7 linked regions of the Coturnix japonica genome follow. The protein of the gene in region 1 interacts with the protein of each later gene in a pairwise test. Links are inferred from orthologs where the notes say so. Each region holds a gene or a part of one and is shown in the gene's direction. Other genes may lie near its edges. The genes, in order: SNCA, CSNK1D, ARFGAP3, BCL2L1, cytochrome c, USP8 and ARFGAP1.

What was found.
Region 2: the proteins of SNCA (region 1) and CSNK1D interact in binary tests that used the Homo sapiens proteins (3 or more experiments, as listed by UniProt). The link is inferred for Coturnix japonica from reciprocal best matches to the Homo sapiens genes SNCA and CSNK1D.
Region 3: the proteins of SNCA (region 1) and ARFGAP3 interact in binary tests that used the Homo sapiens proteins (3 or more experiments, as listed by UniProt). The link is inferred for Coturnix japonica from reciprocal best matches to the Homo sapiens genes SNCA and ARFGAP3.
Region 4: the proteins of SNCA (region 1) and BCL2L1 interact in binary tests that used the Homo sapiens proteins (3 or more experiments, as listed by UniProt). The link is inferred for Coturnix japonica from reciprocal best matches to the Homo sapiens genes SNCA and BCL2L1.
Region 5: the proteins of SNCA (region 1) and cytochrome c interact in binary tests that used the Homo sapiens proteins (3 or more experiments, as listed by UniProt). The link is inferred for Coturnix japonica from reciprocal best matches to the Homo sapiens genes SNCA and CYCS.
Region 6: the proteins of SNCA (region 1) and USP8 interact in a two-hybrid assay, tested with the Homo sapiens proteins (2 studies listed by BioGRID, with this or other methods). The link is inferred for Coturnix japonica from reciprocal best matches to the Homo sapiens genes SNCA and USP8.
Region 7: the proteins of SNCA (region 1) and ARFGAP1 interact in binary tests that used the Homo sapiens proteins (3 or more experiments, as listed by UniProt). The link is inferred for Coturnix japonica from reciprocal best matches to the Homo sapiens genes SNCA and ARFGAP1.

The regions. Positions count from the first base shown.
Region 1 is NC_029519.1:31,290,067-31,294,261, reverse strand, and holds the start of SNCA (alpha-synuclein), read left to right. Parts: upstream 1-1,395; 5' UTR 1,396-1,563; intron 1,564-1,826; exon of another isoform or gene 1,827-1,847; intron 1,848-3,006; 5' UTR 3,007-3,031; coding exon 3,032-3,152; intron 3,153-4,195. UniProt on the Homo sapiens protein: Neuronal protein that plays several roles in synaptic activity such as regulation of synaptic vesicle trafficking and subsequent neurotransmitter release.
Region 2 is NC_029533.1:4,236,074-4,239,573, forward strand, and holds part of CSNK1D (casein kinase I), read left to right. Parts: coding exon 1-99; intron 100-469; coding exon 470-640; intron 641-2,002; coding exon 2,003-2,151; intron 2,152-2,706; coding exon 2,707-2,878; intron 2,879-3,369; coding exon 3,370-3,500. UniProt on the Homo sapiens protein: Essential serine/threonine-protein kinase that regulates diverse cellular growth and survival processes including Wnt signaling, DNA repair and circadian rhythms. It can phosphorylate a large number of proteins.
Region 3 is NC_029516.1:62,853,434-62,856,933, reverse strand, and holds part of ARFGAP3 (ADP-ribosylation factor GTPase-activating protein 3), read left to right. Parts: intron 1-1,033; coding exon 1,034-1,165; intron 1,166-3,043; coding exon 3,044-3,127; intron 3,128-3,500.
Region 4 is NC_029535.1:9,011,652-9,015,622, forward strand, and holds the start of BCL2L1 (bcl-2-like protein 1), read left to right. Parts: upstream 1-1,171; 5' UTR 1,172-1,343; intron 1,344-2,136; exon of another isoform or gene 2,137-2,261; intron 2,262-2,677; exon of another isoform or gene 2,678-2,807; intron 2,808-2,885; exon of another isoform or gene 2,886-3,003; intron 3,004-3,196; 5' UTR 3,197-3,306; coding exon 3,307-3,858; intron 3,859-3,971. UniProt on the Homo sapiens protein: Potent inhibitor of cell death. Inhibits activation of caspases. Appears to regulate cell death by blocking the voltage-dependent anion channel (VDAC) by binding to it and preventing the release of the caspase activator, CYC1, from the mitochondrial membrane.
Region 5 is NC_029517.1:29,070,673-29,074,847, reverse strand, and holds cytochrome c, read left to right. Parts: upstream 1-1,375; 5' UTR 1,376-1,652; intron 1,653-2,095; 5' UTR 2,096-2,103; coding exon 2,104-2,272; intron 2,273-2,650; coding exon 2,651-2,799; 3' UTR 2,800-3,863; downstream 3,864-4,175. UniProt on the Homo sapiens protein: Electron carrier protein. The oxidized form of the cytochrome c heme group can accept an electron from the heme group of the cytochrome c1 subunit of cytochrome reductase.
Region 6 is NC_029525.1:9,615,978-9,619,477, reverse strand, and holds part of USP8 (ubiquitin carboxyl-terminal hydrolase 8), read left to right. Parts: intron 1-553; coding exon 554-634; intron 635-960; coding exon 961-1,223; intron 1,224-1,636; coding exon 1,637-1,849; intron 1,850-2,228; coding exon 2,229-2,439; intron 2,440-3,012; coding exon 3,013-3,249; intron 3,250-3,500. UniProt on the Homo sapiens protein: Hydrolase that can remove conjugated ubiquitin from proteins and therefore plays an important regulatory role at the level of protein turnover by preventing degradation. Converts both 'Lys-48' an 'Lys-63'-linked ubiquitin chains.
Region 7 is NC_029535.1:7,875,794-7,879,992, forward strand, and holds the start of ARFGAP1 (ADP-ribosylation factor GTPase-activating protein 1), read left to right. Parts: upstream 1-1,399; 5' UTR 1,400-1,619; intron 1,620-2,690; 5' UTR 2,691-2,694; coding exon 2,695-2,754; intron 2,755-3,360; coding exon 3,361-3,470; intron 3,471-4,199. UniProt on the Homo sapiens protein: GTPase-activating protein (GAP) for the ADP ribosylation factor 1 (ARF1). Involved in membrane trafficking and /or vesicle transport.

The DNA.
Region 1 (4,195 bases):
CTATGTAGTGGGAAACATCCTAAAGAACAATCAGCATTGACTTTGCCAGGGATCCTTTGGACGGCCTCATCTGAAGTCTCTGATCACCTACTCATCTATTGTCTCTGAGTAGAAATGCACTGCTGCTGTGTTGGCTTCCGTACCACTTGAGCTGTTGCTTTTCAGAGTATGGATTTACTTAAGGTCCCAGGGGGACAGAGCTGCTTTCCACTCAAACACTGACTATCTAGCCAGACAAAGTCATTAATTTGAGATGTTATTGTTGCTCATGTAAAATGTGTTATTTCTGCAATTTCAACCTTGACTGCAAGTAAAGTGTAGCTCATGATGAATAGGATGTGCAATTGCTGGATCATTTGCTAAGGATTTTCTGGAGAGCAGAATTATGAAGGAATGGTTTGTGTTCTCAGTCAGCACCTTCTCACACAAAAAAATACATTTCACCAAATGTTTGCTTGGTTAAATGTAGTAGTGGAATGAATCCCAAGGAAGATTACCAAGCGGTAAAGAAACATTAAGAAACCTGAAAAAGAGAAAACTCTGCACTGTGTGCTCAGAATGGAAATAAAAGCAGGAACCTGTCTGCTGTCTGCCCAGTATGATGGATGGAAGGTGCTTTGTGCAGCTCACATCCCTGTGTCTCATCTGTACCAAGCTCTGCTTCTCCTTTGGAGCGCAATGACAGAACAAACTGTTTTTGCAAGGTTTTGCAGGATCTGTACAGCATGCTGACTGATGTACTGATGCTGAAGGTCCATCTGTTCTAATACCTTGTTTTCCACTGAATTTGGCTTTTCATGCCTACGCTCTGCAGCAATGCAGAGAAGTGACATTGCCTTCCCTTTCTGGGGAAAAGTGACTTGAGTGTAACAGACCAAGAGGGGAAATGCAGTGGCTCTGGTCTGTACAATGGAGACCAACAGGTGTGAGGCTGGGCTTCTCATCCTTGTTTAGACAAAGATTTTATTATATTATGCTGTGGGGTTAAGGATCTTGTTTTACCTACAAGAGTATTACCTGCCATCCTTAAAAATGAGCTGGGAGCGTGAATCCTGAGAGCGTTCACCTCAAGTCACTCCGGCCTGAAGGCTTACGAGAGGAAGATAAGTAACCAAGAGCTCGGGGGCGTTTTCTGAGCCGTGGGTGAAGCGAAACAGGTGTGCTGAATTCACTAGCAACAGCTTGCTCGCATTGCTTCTGAGTGCTGTGATTCAGCCGCCGGGGCGAACAGCGGACAGGTGGTGCCACGAGATGACCAGGACCTCAGCCTCCCCTCTTCTTTCCTATCCTTACCTCCCACCCCCACGTCACGACGCATACCCGACCCGCAGCACATTCCCACCCAGAAGGGGATGGAGGCTGGGAGCCGCCCCACCGCCCCCGGCCCCTCCTCCTACCGCCCCCGCCCCGCACCCTGCCTCTCCTTCACACTCGCTGCCTGCCTTGCTGCCGTCGGGAGAGTTGGCGATGTGCTGAGAAGGGGCAGCTCCCATCAGGTCTCTCTGCGCTTCGCCCTCCTCCTGCCCTGCCTCCCCCCGCCTTCCTGCAGCGGCGGACCCAGCGGTAGGTGGTGGGGAGTGCATGAGAGGCTCTGCTCGCCCTGGGGCTGGGCAGCCGCAGGGGTGGGTGTGCGGACAGGTGCATTTGTCGCTCAACGTGTTCTCCTTTGGGCACGAAGGAGGAAGGGAACGGGAGGGGAAACCAGCGGGCGCCGCGGCTGCCGTGTGAGGGAGCCGCTGGGTGCTTATGTGCTCACGTAGCCCTGCCCTTCTCCTCGGATAGTCCGTATAGATACAGACACATACATGTGGGAGAGCCCTGCGCGTTCTTTCTTCCTTCCTCCACAGGTGCCCATTCTTTTATTTAGACTGAGCCACGTAGCCATGTACTGCTTTCTTCCCTCGCTCTGCACCCAGGTGCTCCCACACCTGCTCTCGGTGCTGCCTACGGTGTCAGTGGGGCACGGATTCTGCCCTTCTGATTGCCACGGGTTAGTAGCAAGCTCCCCACTGTCTTCCTAGACATCCCTTCCTCCGGCGGAGGGAAAGAACTAGCAGGCAGTGCATCTTCTGGGAGGGGGAGGGGGAGAAAGGGAAGGGGCTGTCGGCGACGGGATTGTGAAAGGGGTGTCTTGCTGGCTTTAATTACTGTCTTTGTGGCCTAATTGTAGCGTAGGGCTGTATAACTGCCACAGAACCTACTTGCTAGCTGTAGTGTGGTGTTATTAGTGTAGCATGTTCTTGCCTTTGCTTTTTTTTTTTTTTCCTCCTTAGTCTTGATGCATGTGCAGGATCCCTTTTGAAAGCTCAAGTGCTGGCAGAGCAATATGGGCTGCATGCAAAATGCTGGGTTGCTGGAAAGCAGTTTTGTGTTTGCTCAAGTCCTTCTGGAACATTAGTGGTTCTTCAAACAACAATGAGCGAACGTTTCTCATTTAGAAGAAGCGTTTGTAAAGTTGTTAGTTTTTAAGTTTTTCCTTTGAATGAGAAGGTGGAGCATCAGCGAATGATGGGATTAGATCTTGTAGTTAATAGACAAGAAACTGTCCTTTGGAGGAGATGGTGGTAGGCAAGGAATGGATTTGTTCCTTTCAGTGAGTGCAACTTCAAATGAGAACTGCGTTATCAGTGACCTTTCTGTACGTTTCTGTGGGAACTCCTGGGCCTTTCAGGGACTACCTTAGCCATACTGCTTAACTTGAACTTGCTCTGTGGTAGCATGTGAGATGTAAAGGTGAGTTGTGTAATGGAGCTCCTTTGTTTTCTAGTTATTTAACTGTTTTTTGTCTATCTGAAATACTGAAAGCGATCCTAGATACAGAGAGGTATGTGTATATTGCTAATACGGATGTAGATGGAAGTTATATAATATGTGAGTATAAATAATGTATTTCAAAAGTATTTTGATGTGCAATCAGTTTTAATAAAATTTTCTGGCAAAAAAAAAAAAAAAAAGCTGAGAACCATTATTTAAAGTGTGTTTGGTATTGTTTTTTTTTTTTTCTAGTGTTGTGTGAAGAAATCCTTCAGCCATGGATGTCTTCATGAAGGGACTTAACAAGGCAAAGGAAGGGGTTGTAGCAGCAGCAGAAAAAACCAAGCAGGGAGTGGCAGAAGCAGCAGGAAAGACGAAAGAGGGAGTCCTCTATGTGGGTAGGTGGGCAGTGAGGTTGTGCTGCTGATTGGTGTACCCTGACAGCCCCGCTCATCTGAAAGAAAGAGCTGAATTCTCTCTCTTCTCTGAAATATGTAATCACTCATAGGAGAGGATTAACTGCAAAGTAAACATGATGAGATTTGAACTCTCCTGAGCATAGGGTCTTTGACGATTGTTGCTTGTTTGTTTGATTGCTGTTTGTTGTGTGTCATGTATTTTTTTTTGGTTCTTGTCACTGTGTGTGCTGGTCATATGGGGCTGCATTTGTAATGTTGTACAGGATAAACTTGCCTGTTGGAAGAGGCCTTACAATGCAAGTTACTGACTGGCCCTATTTAAGATGCTTGCTATATGGGAGGTAAATTCACAGAATCCTGTAGAATGCCTGAGTTTTAAGCAGGATTTTTAAAGAAAAAACTTGAGATGTTGGTTCTGGAACTGAATCTAAGACGTGCCAATGTCTTTTCCTGGAGTAGAAGGAAGATAACTGTACACCCCATAGAAAGGAGCTTGTTTTCTTTCTTCACTAAATAAAGGTCCTCAGCAGTAACATTTTGAATGGTGAGGTGTCAGCTCCTTGTTTTTCAAAGTTAACCTAATGTTCTATACTTACTATTGCATATCCTCAGCAGCTATTTTCCATGGCTACTCAAAGAAGAACCTTTACGGTCACTGAGACAGTGGAGAAAGTGGGAAGCAGATGTTAGTTGACTTACCCAGACTATGCGAGTACTTTGCATGGAACCCGGGGAAAGATTCTTTTCAAATCTCACATTGGACTGTTGACGACACAATCATCGTCTTCACTTAGAAACTACCAGGCCTTAAAGTACTGTCTCATAAATGCCATAGTGAAAAATGAACAGGAAAAAAGCTGCCAAGAACATATGAATAGGTCATTTAAACTGGAGGAATTCCATTTTATTTTTTTTAAGTTAATTTCAGTTGCATGGTAGTAGAATAGGAAGGAAAATACACTCTTTTCTGTAGATTCGTTCTTTTTTTATGATTTGGCAGCAAGTCAATTCTGTAATGGATG
Region 2 (3,500 bases), on another chromosome or scaffold:
ACCGGGATGCCCGAACTCACCAACATATCCCATATCGTGAAAACAAAAACCTAACAGGAACTGCCCGTTATGCATCCATCAACACTCATCTTGGAATTGGTGAGCTGGGAAAAGCAATGAATAGAACCTTCACAAGTGCTGATACATGTGTTTTCAGTGCAAGTTGATGATGCTTTTTGGGGCATAGAAGACAGACCCTATTGCTGGCACTCATGACACATTGTGCTTGGACTTATGCCTCTTGGGGTGGGGTTCAGTTTGTAATTCTAAGGAATTGACACATTTCTTTAATAATTGCAAGTGTGATCGTTTGTTTTTTTTTTCTAATACTGGGTGAGTTTGACACAGATGTAGTGATTTTCATCTGTCTGTTGTATTTTAAGGGTTTTTGACACATTATTGCTCAGTCTTCTGTTTTTTCCCACTAGATAATGAAACCTAATGAGTCCACTTTTTTATGCTGTTGTAGAGCAATCTCGCAGAGATGACTTGGAGTCCTTGGGCTATGTACTGATGTATTTTAACCTGGGCTCCCTCCCCTGGCAGGGACTGAAAGCAGCAACAAAGAGACAGAAATACGAACGTATCAGTGAAAAGAAAATGTCTACACCCATTGAGGTTTTGTGTAAAGGATATCCTTGTAAGTTGCTCTTTTATGTCACTAGGCCCATGTATTCATTTTTTAGTGGTATGTCTTTTTTATTTATGCTTTCTAGCTCCTCTGTCACAATGTGTTTGGAGCCTGTTTACAGTCTTCTTGACTTTTTTCCTACAACTGGGCATGCTCATAATAATGACACCGTGCTTTCAAGACCAGGATCTGTCTGTTCGTAGGCTGTTTCTACTTAGCCTCTGTCATAACTATTAGTAAGCAATCACTGTGGTGCTCTTGAGTTTGAAAGACAGCATAGTGTGTGTATGTGATCTGCACTGTCTTGTGTGTGCATGCATAAATTCTGGCAGGATGATTATTAACAGCCAAATAACTTTTTGAGAAGCTTCCCATCTCTTCATGTGTGGATATTCTTTCTGGATAAACCAGATTGTACAGTCATTTGCATCTATTGCAATTGTGTTGTTCTGGAATTGTCATTCCAAGTTCATCCAGTCCAGCCTGACCGTGGCCATTATCTGTGAGGGGTGTAAGAATCCCTCCAGATCCTGGCATCATCCCTCAAAGCTCAGTTTCTTTTCTTGGTGTTTACACCCTAGTAATAAAAAAGAATTTCTGATTCATGCAGAGTAATAACTATGTTTCAAAACTTGTTAATGTATTAGTTACCCTCAGGGAATATTGTTCACCTTTCAGGAAGTGATCTCTCTCTCTTCTTTCCTTGCCCTGTGCTGTGTTAGCTAAGTATGATGAGAATTGTAGCTATGGTGAGGGATGTATGAAAGCTTTTGAGTGTTCCAAAAGTCCTGTCGTGCATGTTCCTTTACTCATAAACTATTTCTTTCCTCTGGGATGAACAGACAAGATGGCAAACAACACAAGAACAGTTGCCTAAAATTCCTTACTTAATGTGAATTATTAATACATCATTTTAGGTGGAAAGCCTTAAAGTCAAGAGCTGGTAGATTGACACTGGTGTATCTCTGGAGCACTGAATACACAATAATGTTCTGTTTTTACTGCATAGCTGGTATTTTAGCAAAGAGATTCTATTCTGTGTACATTAAGTTTAAGTACATTCAGAGCAAGGAAAGGACAAGTAAATCTTTCCTTTGCTGAAATGTAGTTTTAAACTTTCTTCTTCCTCCTAACACAGTCCTACCTGCTATGGATAAATGGAGCCTTCGCCTAATCTGTGATAGACAATTTTCTTTTCAGACCATACTTGGCAGGGGGGATGTAGTGTTGCTTTCAGTAGATTTCTAGTACTATGTCAGTATTTGTATGTTTGGGAGGTTCTGTGTCGTGGTTGTTATTTTTTTAATGATTCTGAGCCATAAAAACCAAATATGAAGCTGAAGGAGAAAAACAGGCTTTCTTTTATTACAGCTGAATTTGCCACATACTTGAACTTCTGCCGTTCTCTTCGTTTTGATGACAAACCTGACTATTCCTACCTAAGGCAGTTATTCAGAAACCTCTTCCACAGACAAGGCTTCTCCTATGACTATGTGTTTGACTGGAACATGCTGAAATTTGTGAGTAGCTGGTGTGGCTTTCTAAAACAATTTTTTGTAATGCTATTTTTTTTAATCACACTGTCAGTTTTGGGTTCTTAACTGATACCTTAAGAGTGTTCTGTCCCAGAAGGTTTGTTGCCCTAAAAATGAGGGGAGGGAGGAAGTAGAGAAAAGCAGGACATAAAGGAGGCTTTAGATTGGGATTTAATGACGAAGTTGTAGTTACAGGATTGTCAGTGTAGTAGGCTTCCTAAGCTGCTTCCTTTGAGGCAGTTGCCACATTGGGTAGCTGACTTCTTATTTTTACCTGTCTTGATCTTTATCACATCTCACATACAACAGTTTAGGAAGTGTCCAATTGCCATAACAGTATGTGTGTGTTTATTAGCGATTTGAACTATCCCAGTGATTGTATGAACTGAATCTATGATAGTTCTCAAGAAATTTTACCAAGGTATTGGTAACCTATCAAACAAGTTCCTCAAACTTCAGTTCTTCGTTGTCAATATTTATTCAAATGTATAGTTGTAAGCTCAATAATCCTTTAAGTTGTTCACTAGTCCTGACCCGTAGGGTGCAAGCAGAGGGGCTGAAGATGCTGAACGTGAAAGGAGAGAACGAGAGGAGAGGCTGAGACATACACGAAACCCAGCTGTGCGTGGATTGCCCTCCACTGCTTCTGGCAGGCTGAGGGGAACGCAAGATGTAGCTCCTCCTACTCCTCTTACCCCAACTTCACATGCTGGTAAGTAAGCAAATATATGGGCTGACGCACCTCCCAGTCTGCTTTAATATGCAGTTTGTTCCTGGTCATTGGAATTTGAAAATAAAATAAGGATATGGGAGTGGTGTTTGAGTGAGTCAGCATTTGGACTTTTTTGTTTCATGCAATCATAGAATGGCCTGGGTTGAAAAGGGCCACAATGGTCATCCAGTTTCAACCCCCCTGTGATGTGCAGGGTCGCCAACTACCAGACCAGGCTGCCCAGAGTCACATCCAGCCTGGCCTGATTGTTTTTTGTTTTTCCCTTTTAATTTTCCGTAGATTGAAGGTAATTACACACACTCATTACCTGCTAATTGCTACTTAGAGTTATCTGCGAATATAAGATGAAAGCCTTGATTTCTCTGGTTTGATCTTGTAGAATTTACATGCGCCAACAGCGTAATTTTTCCAGTGACTGCATTTTTATTACATGCCTCATTCTGAAAATTCTAATGCAATTTTTCTCACAGCCAACACATCTCCTCGACCGGTGTCTGGTATGGAACGAGAAAGAAAAGTGAGTATGAGGTTGCACCGTGGTGCCCCAGTCAATGTCTCATCGTCTGACTTAACAGGCCGACAAGACACCTCTCGCATGTCC
Region 3 (3,500 bases), on another chromosome or scaffold:
TTATTTTTTTACAAAGTCTAGTATTTGCGCACTGGTTTTACATTTGACATTCTAACCTTCAGTTATCTGGATTTGCTGACCCTATCAGAAACTTGTTTACCATGTTTTACTGTAATGGTCTGATATTTTCTTTTATGCAAGAACATATGATGTAATTTGCTAGTTAGTTCTAGGTACTGAAAAACATGCCTAGCTTTTCCATGTTTTGATCTTACAAACAAATTTTGTATGTGTATGTAAATAAGCATGTAAAAAGAGAGTGCGTATCTATATGTACGCACACACGGAAGTGTAGTTGTTGTTGTTTTTAAAGGAAGACCATTTCTGTATAATCATTTTGATGCTATTGAATCATAGTATTGTCAAGTGACTTGGGTTGGAAGAAATGCTTATCCAGTTCCAGCCCCCTGCTGCAGGAAGGGCTGCCAACCCTCAACCAGTTCAGGCTACCCCGGGCCCCACCCCACCTGGGCTTGGATGCCTCCAGGGATGGGGCACCACAGCTTCTCTGGGTAGCTGTTCAAGGGCCTCACTGCCCTCTGAGTAAAGAATTTCCTTCTAACATCTGACCTCAATCTCCACTTTTGTTTAAAGCCAGTCCACCTTGTCCTATTGCTATCTGCCCATGTAAAAAGTCAGTTGAACATACATTGTTCTCCCTAGCATGCTTGAAATGAAGCCAAGCAATGTCTTTTAGAATACCAGAAACATCTTTTGAAGCAAAGCTGTTGGCAGTCAGTTACCTCTTCCTTTCTTCAGTTCTTAGATTCAGAGATAGGAATAATTCTGTATGATTTGAATTGTATATACTTGTAGAAGGTCCCACTAATGTGTTTGTTTTTGTTGCTTTATGTGTCCATATGTTGCCATAATGGAATTTTCTTCTTGTTTTGGAGATTTACATGGACTTCATAGTTTAGAAAATTTAGATACAGGAGGAGAGCATTTTTCTGCATTAAGGTGTGTATTGATGTTAAGTGGCATTTGTTTCAAAATTTGTTTCTTATTGCATTTTATATGTTTTGCTTCATAGTCTGCTTTCTTCCATCAACATGGATGCACAACAAATGACACCAATGCAAAGTATAACAGTCGAGCTGCTCAGCTTTACAAGGAGAAGATTAAATCTCTTGCAACACAAGCAACAAGAAAGCATGGTACTGATGTAAGTCAAGTGTGCCCTCATTTAGATTTCTGAAACACTTCCCACTCCTTAACCACCACCTTAAATTTCTAATTAGCAATGTGGAAGATGATTGTTTTGGAAGTACTGCTACATATTGTCATGAAAGGGCAAGAAGTGGAGTAGGTTATTTGCAGCAGATATTGAGGGTAGAGCTCAACCCAATAATTCAGAATCACTTCTGGATTACTCAAAATGTTAATTGTATCATTTACAGTAACTTAGAAGAATTGCAGGTGGAAACTTCAGGTATTCTTCCAAATGGGTATTACTTTGTTTCACAGATGTACTGCAAAATTGTATTTGTGCTATTGTGCAATAAATATGCCAGCTCTTCTCCACGAATTACGATTAGCTTTGCCTTTCTGGAGCTGAATTATTACTTAGAAGTACAGAATTGTAAAAACATAGAAGCGCCAATAGCTATCTATAAAATAGTTGTGATTTTAGCAGGGTTTTGGCTTGAATAGGTAAATTTTGTATGAAAATGGTACTTGAAAAATTCTCAAATGACATGCTTTGAGCATGCTGTTCTGTTAGAAGTGCTGATGCAGTTCAGTCATGCTGTCAGAGCCTTGAAATTACATTGCTTACAGGAAGAAGTCGTTAGTGAACTGTGCAGTGTACGAGATTGCTGAGGTGTTAAGTAAGTTTGACACAATTCTGTTTTGCGTACACAGAATGAATGCTTTGATGGTTTAATTCAGTGTGTTCAAGTCCATGACTTGACTTCATTTGAAGTTGATCAGATGAGTGGGAATTAGAAAAAAAGCACAATATGCTTTTCTTGCTTTTTTTCTTTCTTTCAGTCTGTACATAATGCAGCATGAAATTTAGTGAGTTATAATAACCCTATGTAACGATATTACATTTAACATGATTCACATCACTGATTTCAGAGAATTCTTTTACTTTAGATATAAAACAAGTAAGCTTAATATACTATTTGCATTTAAATAGGCATCCAGTTCCCCAAATGACACTTGAAAGAACTGTGTTAACCTTCGATTACCGAATTTTTGGATGAAATCTGTATTAATAGTTTATTTCTTACATAAAAAAAATAGTAAATATATTTCTGAATATACTACAGGCTTAAGTGATGATGTGCTGTCTGTGTTGTTGAAGTGTGTCATTCAGTAATTAGTGTTTGTACCAGTCACATTAAAAGAAATTCATTTGCTGGTTCAATTGGTTATTCAGTAATGAGGTAATCTTGTTGCATATTTCGTAACCTTTTTGGAAGTGGTCCTTATTTTCAGTACAATGTCTTTTGCATGTATTAGAAAGAACCTTCTAAACTTGGAATGTAGATCACAAGTTCAGGTATTGTCTTGCAGGGTTCCAAGAATGACCTGAAGCACTTAGGGCTCTGCGGCCTATCCTGAGAACTCTTAGCATCTCGCAAAAGCTTTCTGTAGGTGTAGTAGAGGTTTTGGAACTCTTAGACCAAGTGGGACAATTCATCGAAGTACCAAACCATGGTATTTTCTTAGTGTTTGGTTTTTTTGTTCTTATATGAGAATATGAAAAAACTTTAGGATCAAGTTCTAGTGATATCAAATATTAATAATATCACTGCAGCAGAGCTTATACCGAGTATTTTGTTAGGTAGGAAATGGTTACTGGGAAGGAAGATACCACAGACATGGAATCAAGACAAGGAATGTCATATACTCCAATAAATTTGTAAGGATGAAGTACTTAGGAAAAGAAAATCACTGAATTTTTAACCTGATTTAAAAAAAAGAAAAGGTAGTTTTAAGATAAGTGCGCTTATACCTTAATACCTTAATGCAACTGTCCTGTAAAATTAATAATCTCCTCCTTCACCTTGATCCTCTTTCTAAACACTTGTAGCTGTGGACAGATGGATGCGGAATGCCACCTGCATCACCTCAGCACAAGGAAGAGGACTTTTTTGCATCCCATGCTTCTTCCAAGGTATAGGTTGATTCTACTTTGCTTTCTAAATGTATTAGGATAACTGTGTGTTCTGTTGCAAGGATTAAGACCCTGAAAGAAAATCTTAAACAGTAGGTTGTTGAGCTAAACTCATTTATCTTCTCATCCTTCAGTGGGTCTTGGAGTTATTCCTGAATATGAATGACTTTCTGTGATGATAATTCAGAATTACCTAAATAATAACTAAATGTGGAGCAAAACCATTTTTCTTAGGCACGCAATTCCACTTGGACTCATGACTGAGCCATTTGATGTGAGAGTGCCCTGGTTTAAATTTACTAAGTGAAAACTTCAGTTTATAATCAGTATAGTGTTCCTAAAACATTGGCTAAGCAGGTACTTTATTCCTTCC
Region 4 (3,971 bases), on another chromosome or scaffold:
TAGCAGCCCAAGGAACCGGCTGGGTTATTTATAGGCAGGTAACCTCTGCTTATTATTAGATAAACTGACGTTCAAGCAACACAAAGAGCAGTATAACCATAGCCAATGTGACAGCAATGGCCTCACCAAGGGGCACCAATGGCCTCATCCTGACCCTTTTACTTCAATACCGAAGCATCAAATCCCTTTTCTCCCCCATTTCAGACACTGCTTTCTCCCCTTCCCCCCTCAGAGCCGTTCACAGCGTCAGGCTGCGGCCTACCCCCAACAAGCGGACAAAGGGGCCCAAAGCAGAACAGCAGCCCGTGCTGCCGGTACCGAGGCACACTCATGAAGCGGGGACAACACCAGGAAGGGCTGTGTGCGGCTGTGGGCAGCCCCGGTTGCCGTTGATTCCCGGTGTCCCCCCCCGTTCCTCACTCACCTCAGCGCCGCAGCCGCCGAGCGCGGGGCTTCTGCCCGCCGCCGTTAGAGGATTTCAAACGGGACTCGTCTTGTCCGAATGGACCAATCAACGCTCAGCTCACGCCCTCGTTGCGTGTTGATTGGACGGGCTGTCCAGACGTTAAAGAACCCGGATGAGCGCTCCCGCCCCTCCCGCGGGGGATGATGGGAAATGTAGGATTCGAACGGAAGGAACCGAAGCCTCAGCACCAGAAACAAACTGCTACTCCCATCATGCACAGGGAGAGAAAGGCTTCGACCAATCAGGGGAGGCGGGGCTCTGAAACAGCCAATCAGCTGCAGGGAGGCGGGTCTACCAGGCAGGGCCGGTTCCGCCCGTGTCTGCCCTCTGCCGAGTCTGCTCCTTGTTACCAACAGGTCAAGTCACCCGATTACAGCAGCCATAAGGATCCCCCCGCCCAGCCCCTCACTAACCTCACACCGCCCTCTATGGCCATGGATTCAAGCAGCCGCCTCATCCAGCCCTATGGCCACACCGGCCTTTCCCCGGCTGCAGCTCAGCTCCGAGTCACAGCCCCGAGTGCTGCGGGAACACAACGCACCTGCGGGCGGGGCAGCCGCCAGGGGGCGCTCGAGTCCAACCGGCCTCCTTGTCGCTGCGCATGCGCACTGCCACGGCCGCACAACGCACGCAGGCGCATGCGCACCGCACCTCAGACCGGCGGCGCCGCACGCATGCGCGCTGCCCCCTCCCTCCCTCCCGCCCCCCCCGGCTCGGCCCAGCAGCGCAATGTCCGCTCGGTGCTGATGCGGCGGGACACCGGGCACTGCTGACAGGCCCGACGGCCGGCTGGGCTCCCGGCCGAGCCCTGCGTCGTCACCGGTTGGGCCCATAGAGCGGGATCGGTCACAGCCCGGACCATCCACCGACCGCTGAGGTGAGGGGCGGAGCGGGGCAGGCCGTGAGTGACGGGCGGTTCCACCAATCAAAGCAGGCCGTTCTCTAGCTCCGCCCTCTCGGAGCTGTGGCGGCCGGTGATTGGCTGATGGCGAGGGGCGGGCTGTGTGCCCTATGGCGGCCCTCGTGTGCGGGCCCCGTGAGTGGGGACGGCGGCCGAGAGGGGCCATGGGAGCGGGTACGGCCTACAGCAACACCGGTACGAGGGGACCGGAGTGACGGCACTAAGGAAGCCGGGCTGTACGGCGAGACCCTGCCATAGTACCGGGGGGGAGCTCTTTGTTCAGCCGCCCTGTGGGTGCAGCACCCCGGGCTCTGCATCCTGCTGCCCCCAGCTCAGTGCTCCATGCATTGCATTGTATTGCATTGCATTGCATTGCATTACATTGCATTGCATTGTATTGTATTGCATTGCATTGTATTGTATTGTACTGCATTGTATTGCATTGCATTGCCCTGCAGCCCTTACCTGTGCCCCAGTCCTGCCCCACACTCTGACTCACCGCCAGGCTTTGGCACGAAAACCTTACAAAGAAACGCCAATTACTCAGAGCTCAACGCCGCCAGCAGAGGAGCGGCCCCTGCTTCCTTCATACATCAGAACGCTTCGTTATCTGCCTTTTGGAGAAGGAAAAGGCTCCACAACAGTGGGACCTCCCAGGGGCTGGCAGGGCTGGGGGCACCAGGAGGGCACGGAGCCTTGGCACTGAATAGGAGGGAGGGTAGGAGGGGTGGAGTGGGATGAGAGCACAGTGGGAGGGCTGGGGAGTTGCCTCCTCTCAGCGTCAAATTACTTTAATCCAACACCCTCAGCCAGAAGGAACGAGCTGCTGTTTCCCAGCCCGAGCTGCTATTTCCCAGGCTTTTCTCTGCCCTTTTTCTCAGGGTTGGGGTGTGGGTGAGTATAGAACAGTGACTCTGTGCTTTGTGCAGCCCTGCCTGCCCGCTGCTATGGGGCTTCGGGAGGAGCAGCCCCTCCGTGCTTTCCTTGCAGCCCCCAGGGTGGGGGGAATGCATTGCATGAAGGCTGCTGGGGTGCATGCAGGGACTGTAATACCTCGTGGGGAGGAGGGGCTGTGCAGAGGAAACAGCATTCAAACGACTGCAGGGACCTCAGTTTAAATAACATTACAAACAAACACCCTTTATTTCATCTGTGGTTTCATCTGCGTGTAGTTGCTGGAAGTCTTTAGAAGACTTCTCCTGGGGTTGTTCCTGTTCCTACCTTATTTCCAGGCCTGCTCCTCATACCGTGATACTGCACTGAGCCCTGCCATTCCCTTCTCCTCCAAAGGAGACCCCCGCACCTCTTACCTGCTGCTTTTAAAGGACACTTGGAGCCTTTCTCCCTCCCGTTCCCCCACGCTGGGGGCCGTTCCGAGGGACACGGGGCCGGGCCGAGCCACCGGGGATGGGAACGGGAAGCGGAGCCCGTAACCCAGCTCGGACACCGTCGGTCCCGCTGGGCAATGCCGGCGGGGGGCGCGGCCGGGCCCTTTAACGGGAGGGGCCGGGCGGGGGCGGTGCTGCCTCCGCCTCCGTGTCTCTCCGGGACTGACGGAGCGGAGCGGGGCCGGGCCGCCCGCAGCACCCGCAGCTCTCAGCCTCCGCCCGGCGAGCCCCGGCTCTGCCTGAGCCCGGTGAGCCCCGGGGCTGCGGGAGGGCTGAGGGTGACCCCGAGGGGGGATCCCCGTTCCGTGTGCGGCGGCGGTTCCGAGCGAAGCTGGGTGATGAGCTCAGTGTAACGTTAAGCTATTGATGTGCACGGCGCAGCAAGCTGTCGTGTTAACCGTTTCCTTGCCTCTCTTTTCCTCTCTGTGTGTCTGTGCAAAGGTCGGATGTGTTCGCCGGTGGTGAGGGAGCGTGGAGCCGGGAGCTGCTAAGTGTGCTTATCTGCTCGTGCACTGGACCATGGACTCATTGAGGGCGTTCCAGGTGTGAAAATGTCCGGCAGTAACCGGGACTTAGTGATTGACTTTGTTTCCTACAAGCTCTCGCAGAAGGGGCACTGCTGGAGCGAGCTGGAGGAAGAGGATGAGAACAGGACTGACACTGCGGCAGAGGCAGAGATGGACAGCGTCCTCAACGGGAGCCCATCGTGGCACCCGCCTGCCGGCCACGTAGTGAATGGAGCCACCGTGCACCGGAGCAGCATGGAAGTTCATGAAATCGTCGGAGCATCTGACGTGAGGCAGGCGCTGAGAGAAGCAGGGGATGAGTTTGAGCTGAGGTACAGGAGGGCTTTCAGCGACCTCACCTCCCAGCTCCACATCACCCCTGGCACGGCGTACCAGAGCTTCGAGCAGGTAGTCAATGAACTCTTCCACGATGGTGTGAACTGGGGGCGCATTGTGGCTTTCTTCTCCTTCGGAGGGGCTCTGTGCGTGGAGAGCGTGGACAAGGAGATGCGGGTACTGGTGGGACGCATTGTGTCTTGGATGACCACGTACTTGACCGACCATCTAGATCCCTGGATCCAGGAGAATGGCGGCTGGGTAAGAACTGCTCTCCCATAGGGATGGCTCCCTGCATCCTAGCTCAAGGCCAGATCAAGCTGCCTGCAGTGATTGTGCTTGTGCTCGGTCTAGACCTTGCAGGGCAAGAATTT
Region 5 (4,175 bases), on another chromosome or scaffold:
GTGTTGATAATGTGCCAATGTTTTAGCTGTTTCTGTGTAGACAGAATCAAGGACACTTCTGCAAGCAAGCAAGCTGGCGGTGTGTAAGTTGATAGGAGGGGGCAGAGCCAGCACAGCTAACCCTGACAGACCAAGGGGATATTCCATATCATGTGTCATCATATTCAGCAATAACAATGTGGGGGAAAAGGAGGAAAGGGGTATTTTCAGAGTTACGTTGGGTCTTCCCAAGAACCCAATATGTGTGATGAAGTTCTGCTTTCACAGAAACGGCTGAAAATCTGCCTGTCGGTGGAAAACAGTGAATTAATTCCTTATTTTTCTTTGCTTGCTTATGCAGCTTTTGCTTGACCTATTAAACAGTATTTGCCTCAAGCCATAAGTATTTTTCACTTTTGCCTTCCTGATTCTCTTCCCCACCTCTCTGTGGAGAGTGAGTGAGCAGCTGGGTTGCTTGCCTGTCTACCAGGGTTAAATCACACTTTAATCTTTTCAATAATGGCAAAATATACATTGAGTGCAGTCCAGATATTCAGTCTAATAACACATTTTTCAATTGAAAAAGGTATATTTGTCAAAAAAAAAAGGAGAAGATATGTATCACAAAACTGAGAAGTAAACCATGATCTCCTGAGTTCCAGCCTAGTCCCAAGATGGCGATCTTTGCTCTTTCATCTGCTGTGTAACTCTGAAGAGAACTGGCTGGATGTTTTGTTATATTTCCTCTAATACTTTGATATATATTTGTTCTATTTTCCCTTCTTTCAGAACGAAATTACACTGCAATAAGCCTGACTGCAAAATCATCATCATTCCAGTCTGAAATGGTCTGAAGTAATAAAAAGATGAAGTTGTTTGAGGTACAACCACTGCGAATAACTGAAAGCTTAAAACACAGCTGTTCCAAGCAAACCACATCCAGGTCAACGTCCCAATTAATGTTATTACATTAAAGTTATTACATCTAGAAAAGTCACAGTGCACTGAAAATATCCTTCCATATATAATATATATAATATCTGGGACTCTGGTTTCAGACTGGAGTTCAGCACTGGCACAAGTCCAGGTGATCTCTTCATTCAGCTGCCCTGGAGATCCGTGAATGTCCCCACACGTCATAAGCAGAGCAGTTTTATTGTGGTAACTTTACTTCTGGTAGCGGTGTTTAACGTTAACACCTCACAGCGGGGAGACACTGAATACCCCGATGACGTCACGGACACAGCCCAGACCCCGCCCCCCGCTGAGGACAGAGCGTGACCCTCACCTCCCCTTCCGTTGTGCGCATGCGCCGCAGACCCTCCCGCGTTCCCCTTTACGTAGCGCAGTTCCGCCACACGACTTCCGCCGGAAGTAGTAGGACAGGGAGCCCGGCGCCCGCCTTTGCAACCTACCCTGCTAGTCACCGACGTCGTGACGTAAGCATTGACGGACAGATGTTACAACCAATCAAAATTCCAGCAGGCTGCATTTGATTGGCTACTGAGCCACAGAGGGCGGGTGGAGTACCGGCGCCGTTTGGTTGCAGCGACACCGGGTTACATAGGGCGGAGTCCGGCGTGTCCTTGGGCACAGCAGCCGGACGGCGCGGGGCGGTCGGAGCTGCAGTCAGCTGTGTGGGTGCGGTGTGAGCGGAGCGGCCGGCTGGGCAGGTACAGGCGGGCGGGGTGTGCGGGTGATCAGGGCCTGATTTCCAAGCGGCGCTGTCTGGGTCTGGAGCCACTACTTGGCCCGGCCGTTAGGCGGGATTGGGGCGATAAGGGACGGGGCAGTGCGGCTCTGACCCTGCTCACACTGCGGCCTTGAGGATCCCTCAGCTGGCAGCGGAAGGTCACGGCGGGGCCTGCTCTGCGGGAATTAGATGAGGCGTGTTTCTTGTTCTTCAGGCATAAAGCGTGGCACCTTAATAGTGTAATGGTTCTATGCAAATCTTCAAACCCTAGAGCTATAACTCGTGGCTAGAAGGCACTCAGAGTTCACAGATTGGTTTACAAAACTGTAGCTACAGCCCATCGCTGTGAACCTTTTTAAAGCTTCTGTTGAATAGCTGACCTTGATATTGTGATACTGACCTCTGTATGTGTTCTTGGTCTAGTACCGACGATGGGAGATATTGAGAAGGGCAAGAAGATTTTTGTCCAGAAATGTTCCCAGTGCCATACGGTTGAAAAAGGAGGCAAACACAAGACTGGACCCAACCTTCACGGCCTGTTTGGACGCAAAACAGGGCAAGCTGAGGGTTTCTCTTACACAGATGCCAATAAGAACAAAGGTAAATGTAAAGCAGCTCCTCCTGAGCTACTGGTGGTTCTTGGGGATAGTCAGAAGTACTGAAACCTGCAGAAAGCAAAAATAATATTCAGGCTGGACATTAGGAAGTATTACTTCTCGGAAAGGGTAGTCAGGCACTGGAATGCACTGCCCAGGGAGGTGGTGGAGTTACCAGCCATGGGAGTATTCAAGAAACGCTTGGATGTGGCACTGAGGAATATGATTTAGCCAGGAAGTATTGGTAATGGTTGGACTAGATGATCTTCTAGGTCTTTTCCAATCTTGATAATTCTGTGATTCTGTAATATGAGTGAGCAGGAAAAAAATATATATATTCATTTCATTTTGAAGTCACTGCTTGTCTATTTCTTCTTGCCAGGTATCACTTGGGGTGAGGACACCCTGATGGAGTATTTGGAAAACCCAAAGAAGTACATCCCAGGAACAAAGATGATTTTTGCGGGTATCAAGAAGAAGTCTGAGAGAGTAGATTTAATAGCGTATCTCAAAGATGCCACTAAAAAGTAAAAGTTATCTGCTGCCTTATTTATTTCACGTAGGAGTTGGCAATGGAAATGTCTGTGACAAGATTGGTTTTTAAACTTTCTATTTTTACATATACCATGTCTAACCTTAAAATCAGTTTTACCCATCAGATGATGTTGCTCATGGTGGGTCACTGAAGAACACACTTGGCAGCCGTTAACTTATGAAAACTATGTAACTGGGTTGATTTCAATGAGTATAATGTTCAGTTGTTCTTAATCATGAAATTAAAAACAAAAAAAAAATATATCCTGCCTCTTTATTGTTTAACACACAAAAAATGTATCAAACAAGTGTCAAAAGTGTTAATAGCTTTGACAACCCTACTCTTCAGAATGAAAAAGCAGAGTGGGTCTTGGCATCTTTCACTATAAGTCTTCTGCTGTGTTACACTAAAGATTTAAAAGTAAAGAAAGACTTAACAATATTTTTCTAAACTTGATCAGTTTTAGGTGTTGTGGTGCGTATTAATCTATCTAAAGCTTGGGGTAAGAATGCATCTCTCAAGTGCTGTTTGTTCAATGACACTTGTGCCCAGATCCTTTGATCTAGGAGAAACATGTTACTTGATTTATCTCGACTTTCACAGTTGCATGCACCAGTAGACTAGAATTCTCCAGCATCATCTTTAAGTCTTCTTGAATGTTATTGAAACTCTCTGTTCAGTACATCTCCGGAGGGCAAACGTTTGTAGTATAATGAATGAAAGAAGAAACACTTCTTCTGGAAAGGTAACTACTAAAAGCCAAGATGAGAGCTGATAAATCTTATTTCAGCAGTAGCATTCACCTAAAACCTACTGTTACACACAGCTGCTGATGGAGACGCACAGCAATGAATGCACTGGTAGACTAATGGGAAACAGTCTTCTTCTGTGCCTGGCTATAGCGTGTGTCATTAACAGTGTTGAGTAATATTTTAGTGTTTTAATTGTTTAGTGTTTTTTTCATGCTAAGCAAACTGTTCAGATGAATGTATTTACTGTGTATCAACAGTAAGGCACAACTTAGAGTGATCAATCTTGTACATTAAAAGAATTCAAAGTCCTGTTGGCTGTATGTGTCTGAAACCGAAATGGTGGGGTCATATGGGCTTTATGTCACTACAGGATGAGCAAAAACTCAGCGTGAAAAAAGTAAGTGCTAATAGAGATTGTGTGAAAGGTACTTGGAAGTGTGGCAGAGTTAGGAAGTATTTTGAACTAGAAGCAGCAAAGCTAGGCTGGGTAGGCAGAATATTGAAATGGAAGCATGTAAAGTTGTCACTTATTGAGGTTAGTATGAATGCAAGTACCCGGGTGGTACTTCTTTGTTGGTTTCTTTGTTAGGTTTTCGATTTGTTTGTGGAAGGGGATGTAA
Region 6 (3,500 bases), on another chromosome or scaffold:
TTCATGTTAAATTCTACCTCACTTTAATTTTCAAAGTCATTATTGTAAGAAGAGACCATGCTATGCTCATAGCTGTTTGGGTTTCTTTTATTTTGCCACATTCATCTGCAAAAAAATTGTGAGACTTTCACTAGAAATTTCCATGTGCTCCTCATGGCATTAACAATTGTTCCACACTCATTTCTCATCTCACGTGTACTGTTTCGTACTAGTTGGGAAGGGAGATCTTTGCTGTGTGTTTAACAAAAGCACGTATTTCTAACAGAGTGGCTTAACTATGGGAGGAGTGGAGTGGTCAGGCTACTGCAAAGCTGAATTGTCTTTTTCCTGGAGCATGTCAGCATAGGGCTTTTGTCTACCTTGAGTGGTATGAAATAGTGGTACCATGTTACCATTTTCATGTCCTACCATGAGTTGCGTTTTCAGCTGTCACGAAGGAATTCTCATTGAACTGCTTTGCATTCGATCGTGCAGCTATGTAGAGAAGTCACAGGCAGCCCACTGCTCTGTGCAGGTAACTGTACGTGCCTTACATTTCTGTTGTCTTTATTAGTCTCAGCGGGAGCCATTGATCAGAGCGCGAAGTGAAGAAATGGGGAGGATAATACCAGGACTGCCTGAAGGATGGGCCAAGGTAACTTTCTATTCTGATGTCATAATCGAGCTTGTGCAATATCCTAGCGCCTTTCGGCGCCACATTTTAAAGTCACATCTGTATTGTTGTCTCTTTGATTTATTTTCTGACTTTTTTTCTGGATTTCCTGTAATGAAATCAGGGAAGCTCATCTGCTGATTGTAGTATTGAGGAGTTGCTGTTTAGATGCACATTGGACAGTAACTACTGTTAAGGCTTCAGCGTTTAAGAAACTCATGTATTATTCCTACAGTACTTCAGAAATGGGTAGGGTTTGTAATAGATCTTGACCTCGTTTTAAAACTCCTTTTTTTTCCTCCCCAAAGTTTCTGGATCCAATCACTGGAACCTTTCGTTACTATCACTCACCAACGAACACCGTTCAGATGTACCCACCAGAAATGGCTCCTTCATCCACCCCTCCAGCCACCCCGCCAACCCACAAACCCAAACCGCAGGTGGCTGCCGAGCGGGAACGAGAACCCTCCAAATTGAAGCGCTCGTACTCATCCCCAGATATAACGCAAGCCATTCACGAGGAGGAGAAGAAAAGAATTCCTGTAACTCCTGCGGTCAATCGTGAAAATAAGTATGTTTGATAACTTATATCCCAATTTAGGCAATTATAGCTTGTTGTGGGATGACAGTTGCTCGTTAGGTATTTGTGTTAATGTATGAAATACCAGTCTCCTGGCATTTTCAGTCTGTGAAACACAGCATTCTTAATGTTTAAATGGGAAGAATTAGCTGTTAATTACATAATTAACTAAAATAAATAAATAAGTACTGTTTTAGTCCATACCTCAACCTGGCTGTAGGCCAATGTATCTGGATTTGTCGCTGTTTCATTAACTGGTCTTCAGTAAACTGAATGATGTCATTGGGGTGACTTGTTGTGCTCAGATGTTTCGCCGCCTGTGAGGGAATTTGCTTCTGGTGGGTTGTGCGCGTGGTTTTATCAACTCTCAGACTGCTAAAAAATAAATGAATCCTTCTTTTCAGACCAATCTATTACCCTAAAACAGAAATCTCAAGACTCTCTGCATCACAGATTAGGAACCTTAATCCCGTGTTTGGGGGATCGGGACCAGCTCTTACAGGACTTCGTAATCTAGGGAACACTTGCTACATGAACTCCATATTACAGTGTCTGTGCAACGCACCTCATCTAGCTGAGTATTTTAACAGAAACTTGTATCAAGATGATATTAACAGGTAACGATCTCTCATACTCATCCTTTTATTTGCAGTTGTTTTGTTTTATTTGCAAGTGTTTTGTTAATTAACAATTGTAAAGTCAGATGAGTAGAGCTGCAGATTTTTTCCAGGGATTTCTCAGAATTCAGTAGTGGGTCAGAAGAGGCTTTTTTGGGCAGCCTGAACTAAATTCTGCTGAGTGCATTCATACATAAGTGTTGGTTGTGTTTAGTTGACTGTAATGCACTTCCACAGCAGCTGGCATAGCAAGGTGGGAATAGCGATGCCTTCTATCGGACCAATGTTGAATATTCAAATTATAGCATAGATGTAGGCAGAAATTTCAATTCAGACTAACAGCTTTTTTTGTTTTTATTGGATCTGTTTCATTGTATAGGTCCAATTTCTTGGGGCATAAAGGTGAAGTGGCTGAAGAGTTTGGAGTAATAATGAAAGCCTTGTGGACAGGACAGTATAAATATATCAGTCCAAAAGACTTCAAAATTACAATTGGGAAGATTAACGACCAGTTTGCAGGATACAGCCAGCAAGACTCCCAGGAGCTGCTTCTCTTTCTAATGGACGGTTTGCACGAAGACCTCAATAAAGTAAGCCAAATACATTACAAGTTGTACATCTGCTAAATGAGCATGAGAAATAAAACATAAAATGCCTTACGAAGCACTAGCACACAGCTTAAATCCTCCTGTACAAATGGAGTTGCCTTTTGGGTATGGTTGAAAGAGCCAGCACAAATGCATGTTAAGCTCCCCATGGAGCTTTAATGGCACAGAAACGGCTCTTTGGAGACAAAGTCCCAATTCTGTGACATCCCTCTGGCTGGCAAGTCTTACATTACCAACATGGCTTGCTGTTATGGCTGTGTAGCAGGTGACTTTTGGAAGAAAACAGGATCAATCCCAAAGCAGAAGTTTAAAATCTGCATTAGTTTGCAGCGGATACATATTGCTGCTTCTGTTATTGCAATGTCGTATAGAAGGAAATTAAGTATTTGGGATTATAGAATTCAGTTTTGTAAAGCGTAAGATATTGATGGGAACAGTGGAAGAGAGCTCAGGCAAGAAGGCTGTCCTGACACATTTGAATGTCATTTAAATGTTCTTCCTTATTTTTAAAGTACGTTAATATACTGCTAAGGTATTCCAACATCTGTTATACAGGCTGACAACAGGAAAAGATACAAGGAAGAAAACAACGATCATCTCGATGACCTGAGAGCAGCAGAACTGGCCTGGCAGAAGCACAAACAGCTCAACGAATCCATTATTGTGGCACTTTTCCAAGGCCAGTTCAAATCGACAGTGCAGTGTCTCACGTGTCACAAGAAGTCCCGGACCTTTGAGGCTTTCATGTATTTGTCTTTACCACTTGCATCCACCAGTAAATGCACACTGCAGGTAAGGTGACACTAGAGACAAACATTGAAAACATTTCCCTTTGGCTTTGTTATGATGCTTCCCAGGGTGGTTGTGGTTGTCCCTTGTTGGACAGGGATGTGGTCCGGGACAAGCAGCAGGAGGTGGCCCAGTTGGCTCCAGGTGACCCTTCAGTTTTCAGTGCTCCCACTTAATTTGCACCAACCTGAAATGTGAACAGATCTGAGTCTGTTGCTGTTTAATTCTTCTAAATTAACAAAAATAGATCGTAT
Region 7 (4,199 bases), on another chromosome or scaffold:
CCATTGGAGAAGTGAGCTGTGGCAGCTGACATTGCTGCCCTGCAATCTGAGTCCCTGGCATGATTGCAGCCACATTTCCAGCTGCAATTTCATGAGGCAGCATGACCAAGAAGTAATTCAATGCAGCTGCTAAAGTCTATGGGTATTGACACCGAGTGATCGCCTGAGGCTGCCATGCAACAGTTGCATTTCTCAAATGATAGGACACAAGAAGATCCAGAAGGGCGAGAGCAGCTTTCCTTTGACTCCAGCTATGAAATGTCACTGCAGAAACACAAAAGATGTCTCAGTGACATACTGGTGGTGCAAGCACATACACCAACAAGCATTCCCAGCTCCATGTGCTCCCAGCTGCATTTCCACATCCAGTGGCAATACCCACTGCTGTCCCTGCCTTATCTTCTGTTATGTTACCCTATAATTTGTTCCTCGCTGCATTTCGTCTGTGGGTGACTCTGGGCATAACAACCACAGCAATGACAGCAGTGCAAAAAGCATTTGCAATTTCATGACAGAGCCAGTTTGTAACTAGAGAAAGGGATGAGTTGGGAATACAGTGAAGGACGCCTTTGTAAATGTGATTAGTATGGTGTCATATATTATCTTACAATAGGTATTTTGCAGAGATGGGATGAGAGCTATGCAGCCAGCCCAAATTGGAATGGCGTGCACTTATATGCTTACTAAGGGAGGCAGATGCATGTGGCTTCCCTTCATTCCTGCTGAAAACCAGACTTTGCACCTTCCATCTCAGCACACAACAGGTTAATGCTGACTGCTGGCTGGGGGCAGCTTGCAGTGTGAACACAGCAGCACTGCTTGGTTGGTAGCAGTATTTTTGGGTCCAGGAAGACCAAAGTGTGCGTTTGGGACACGAAGCAAACAGCTGCCATCAGGAACTCAGCGCAGCATCACTATAGATGGAAAACGTTACCCAACACTGCTCCCCTGAGGCTGTGAGTGCAAGTACCGAACGTGGGATGTGAGCACACAGCCACTGCTTCTATCGACAGCAAAACTGAGATGAATATTCTCATTAGATCTCATCATACAGTGTGTGTGATGGGAACCTCATTGACCACCGGTCCGTGTTTACCTGAAAACAACAGCTCTTATCAAATAGAGCCCACTTTGTCCTTAACTTGGAAGAGCAAATGATCAAAGCAGGATTTTCTTTACGTTTCACTTCTCCCCCTTTTGGACGCACTCGCTGATGGTCCCGTTATCATCTCATTGATGCAGGGGCTGCTCTGCGTGTAGCTGCTAATGGAAATAGCTCTTGTTAATCTCTTATGTACCGATAGTAACGAATAGAAAGCATCACACCTCTCACACCGCCACGTCTCAGCTCCGCCCCAAGCTCCGCCCCGCCCGGCACACAACGGGTTAACCCGGCTCCCACAATCCATCCCTGTTTTGCAACGTCGCCGTTCGCGGCTGCGCTGTGCGTTCGTTCCATTCCGGGCCCCGTTTAGTCCTTCTGTTCTATCTATCTCTCTCTTTTTGCTTTTCTTATTTTAGAGGTGTCTGACCATGTTCTGAAGCGGCTTCTCCCGGACTCGCCTCGGATCCGCACGGCGCAGCTCTCGGTGGAGGAACAGCCCGACCCGCTGTGCTCGGTGAGCAGCCCCTATAGGGTGTAATAACACTATGACAGCTGTTCTGTTAGTCGGGGCAGCTCCATATGGCTTCATGGTGATTCAGGTTGGGCGTTAGGGGATGTTTAGGAGCGGTGATGCTGGTGTGTGTGTGTTGGGGGGGGTTACTGTCCATAGAGATGTCCAACATGGTGATGTAGCACTCAGGGATGTAGCTGTGTGTGTGTGTGTGTGTTGGGGGGGGTTCCCATCCATAGAGATGCCCAACATGGAGATGTGGCACTCAATGATGTAGTAGTATGTGTGTATGTGTGTGTTGGGGGGGGGTTCCCATCCATAGAGATGCCCAACATAGAGATGTGGCACTCAGGGATGTAGTTGTGTGTGTATGTGTGTGTTGGGGGGGTTCTCGTCCATAGAGATGCCCAACATGGAGATGTGGCACTCAATGATGTAGTAGTATGTGTGTATGTGTGTGTTGGGGGGGGTTATTGTCCATAGAGATGTCCAACATGGTGATGTAGCACTCAGGGATGTAGCTGTGTGTGTGTGTTGGGGGGGGTTCCCATCCATAGAGATGCCCAACATGGAGATGTGGCACTCAATGATGTAGTTGTGTGTGTATGTGTGTGTTGGGGGGGGTTTCCATCCATAGAGATGCCCAACATGAAGATGTGGCACTCAGGGATGTGGTTACTGGGTGTGGTGTTGGGTTGTGGATCTGAGAGCTCTCATCCAATCTCAGCCATGCCATATAGAGTCCTGTCACAGCTCACACCAGTTTACATAGTGCTGCTTTTAGCATGCTAGAAGTTCCTACTATGGAAACTCAGGTCGTGTACTGTCTGATTACTGCTCTCAAAGCAAACCTTGATGGGTTTGAAACTTGTGCAGTCTGTGACCAATTGAGTGGTGCAGGCATTGGCTTGGTCCATAAAACATACCTGGTTCATACACCCTCTCCTTTATTGTACCTTATTTCTTTCTGAGCCCTGTTGTCTCACCTGTTGGTGTGTGTAATTGCATTTACGCTGTTCTATTCACAGGTAGTCACTTCAGTATGACTCAGATCTTGTTATTCTTCTTTTGTAGAATCATGGCAAGTCCAAGAACGAGGAAAGTTCTCAAGGAAGTCAGAGCCCAAGATGAGAACAATGTGAGAAAACTGTAACTTACTGTAGTTTCCCAGAGCTGAATTGTCTTTCTGTTTGCTCCACATCTAGTTGCTGTCCATACAAACTAACCTGTGTCTGTGCTTGTATATCTAAGTAATGGTAGCAGAGAAATATGGATGTATTGTGTTTGCATTAGCCCTAGTAACATTGATTCGTAGATGTATTGTAACACATGGCTGTGTGTTTGGCACAAGGCTTTCAGGGGCTCTGAGTGCTGTAAGCCCTGGAGTCCAAGCAAGTGATGTCTTGGGTATAATTAAACTGTCTATTTCAAATAGCTTGATAGAATGCTGCCTTAAATGTGATAGCCCTCAGACAGCTTCATTTTGTTTATGTCTTTCCCTACTGGTGTTTGGTATGTGGTGATTTTATAATACAGCTCAGGTAATTGAGGGCTTTCCATTCAGCATAAATAAACATTTAAGGGAAGCTTATGCTCCTGGGGTGGTGGTTCCAGCACAAAGAACTTTCCCTGCTGAACTTAATTCCTGCACACGACAGTTTCATGACCAAATATTGTACTTTGGGAACTTCCGTGTGGGTGAGAGCTGGTTACGAGTTAGAAATGATTGTTTTCTCTCTTGCAGGTCTGTTTTGAATGCGGTGCGTTTAACCCCCAGTGGGTGAGTGTGACCTATGGAATCTGGATCTGTCTGGAGTGCTCAGGAAAGCACCGAGGCCTGGGAGTCCACCTCAGGTCAGCCCTGCACTTGGGTTTCCTTTGGGGGTTTTATGGCTGTGAACAGAAAGGATTATTATGGAGGGGTGCAGAATATCTTCAGTTTCAGCATTTCTTGGGCACTTCTGCTTTGTGCTCCTTTCCAAAGTGAGCTTTATTCTCTCTGCCTTCACTGGAATTAGCTGGGATCTGCATTGGTGCAGCTGTGTCGTGCCCAGGTCTAGAAAGCAGCATCTCCAGCTGGAGGTTACGACCTTACATTTAATAATAGCACTCTGTTTTTTTGTATATAACTTAATGAACAGTAGCAAGAATTTATGGCCCAGGGTAGAGCTGACGTGTTTATTGCAGTCATGAATGCTCTGGGATGAGGTCATGGTAGGTGTTAGCATAGGCTGCATTAAGCAGTTGAGTTGTCATACCTGGTGGTCATTGTGAGCAGAAGCATGAAGCAGGGGCAGGAGGTGCCTTGCAGGGCACTCACATGTAATATTGAAAGTAGATGGGAAAGCAAAGCTGCCAAGTGAAGTTTTCTTTTACATAGCATGGTAGGTTTCCTGGCTCATTGGAGAAAGCTGCTTTTTCTATCACTTTCCTTCTCTTGACAGTGTCTTTCAAGTGCCAGTACTTTATTTTTGCTTATTTCAGTGAGGATTTGACCGCCTTCTTAAGACACTCTTTCTTTCCATGCTTTGAGAGTGTTTATTAACATTTCTGTACCCCCAAACTTTTTTTTTTTGTCCCTGC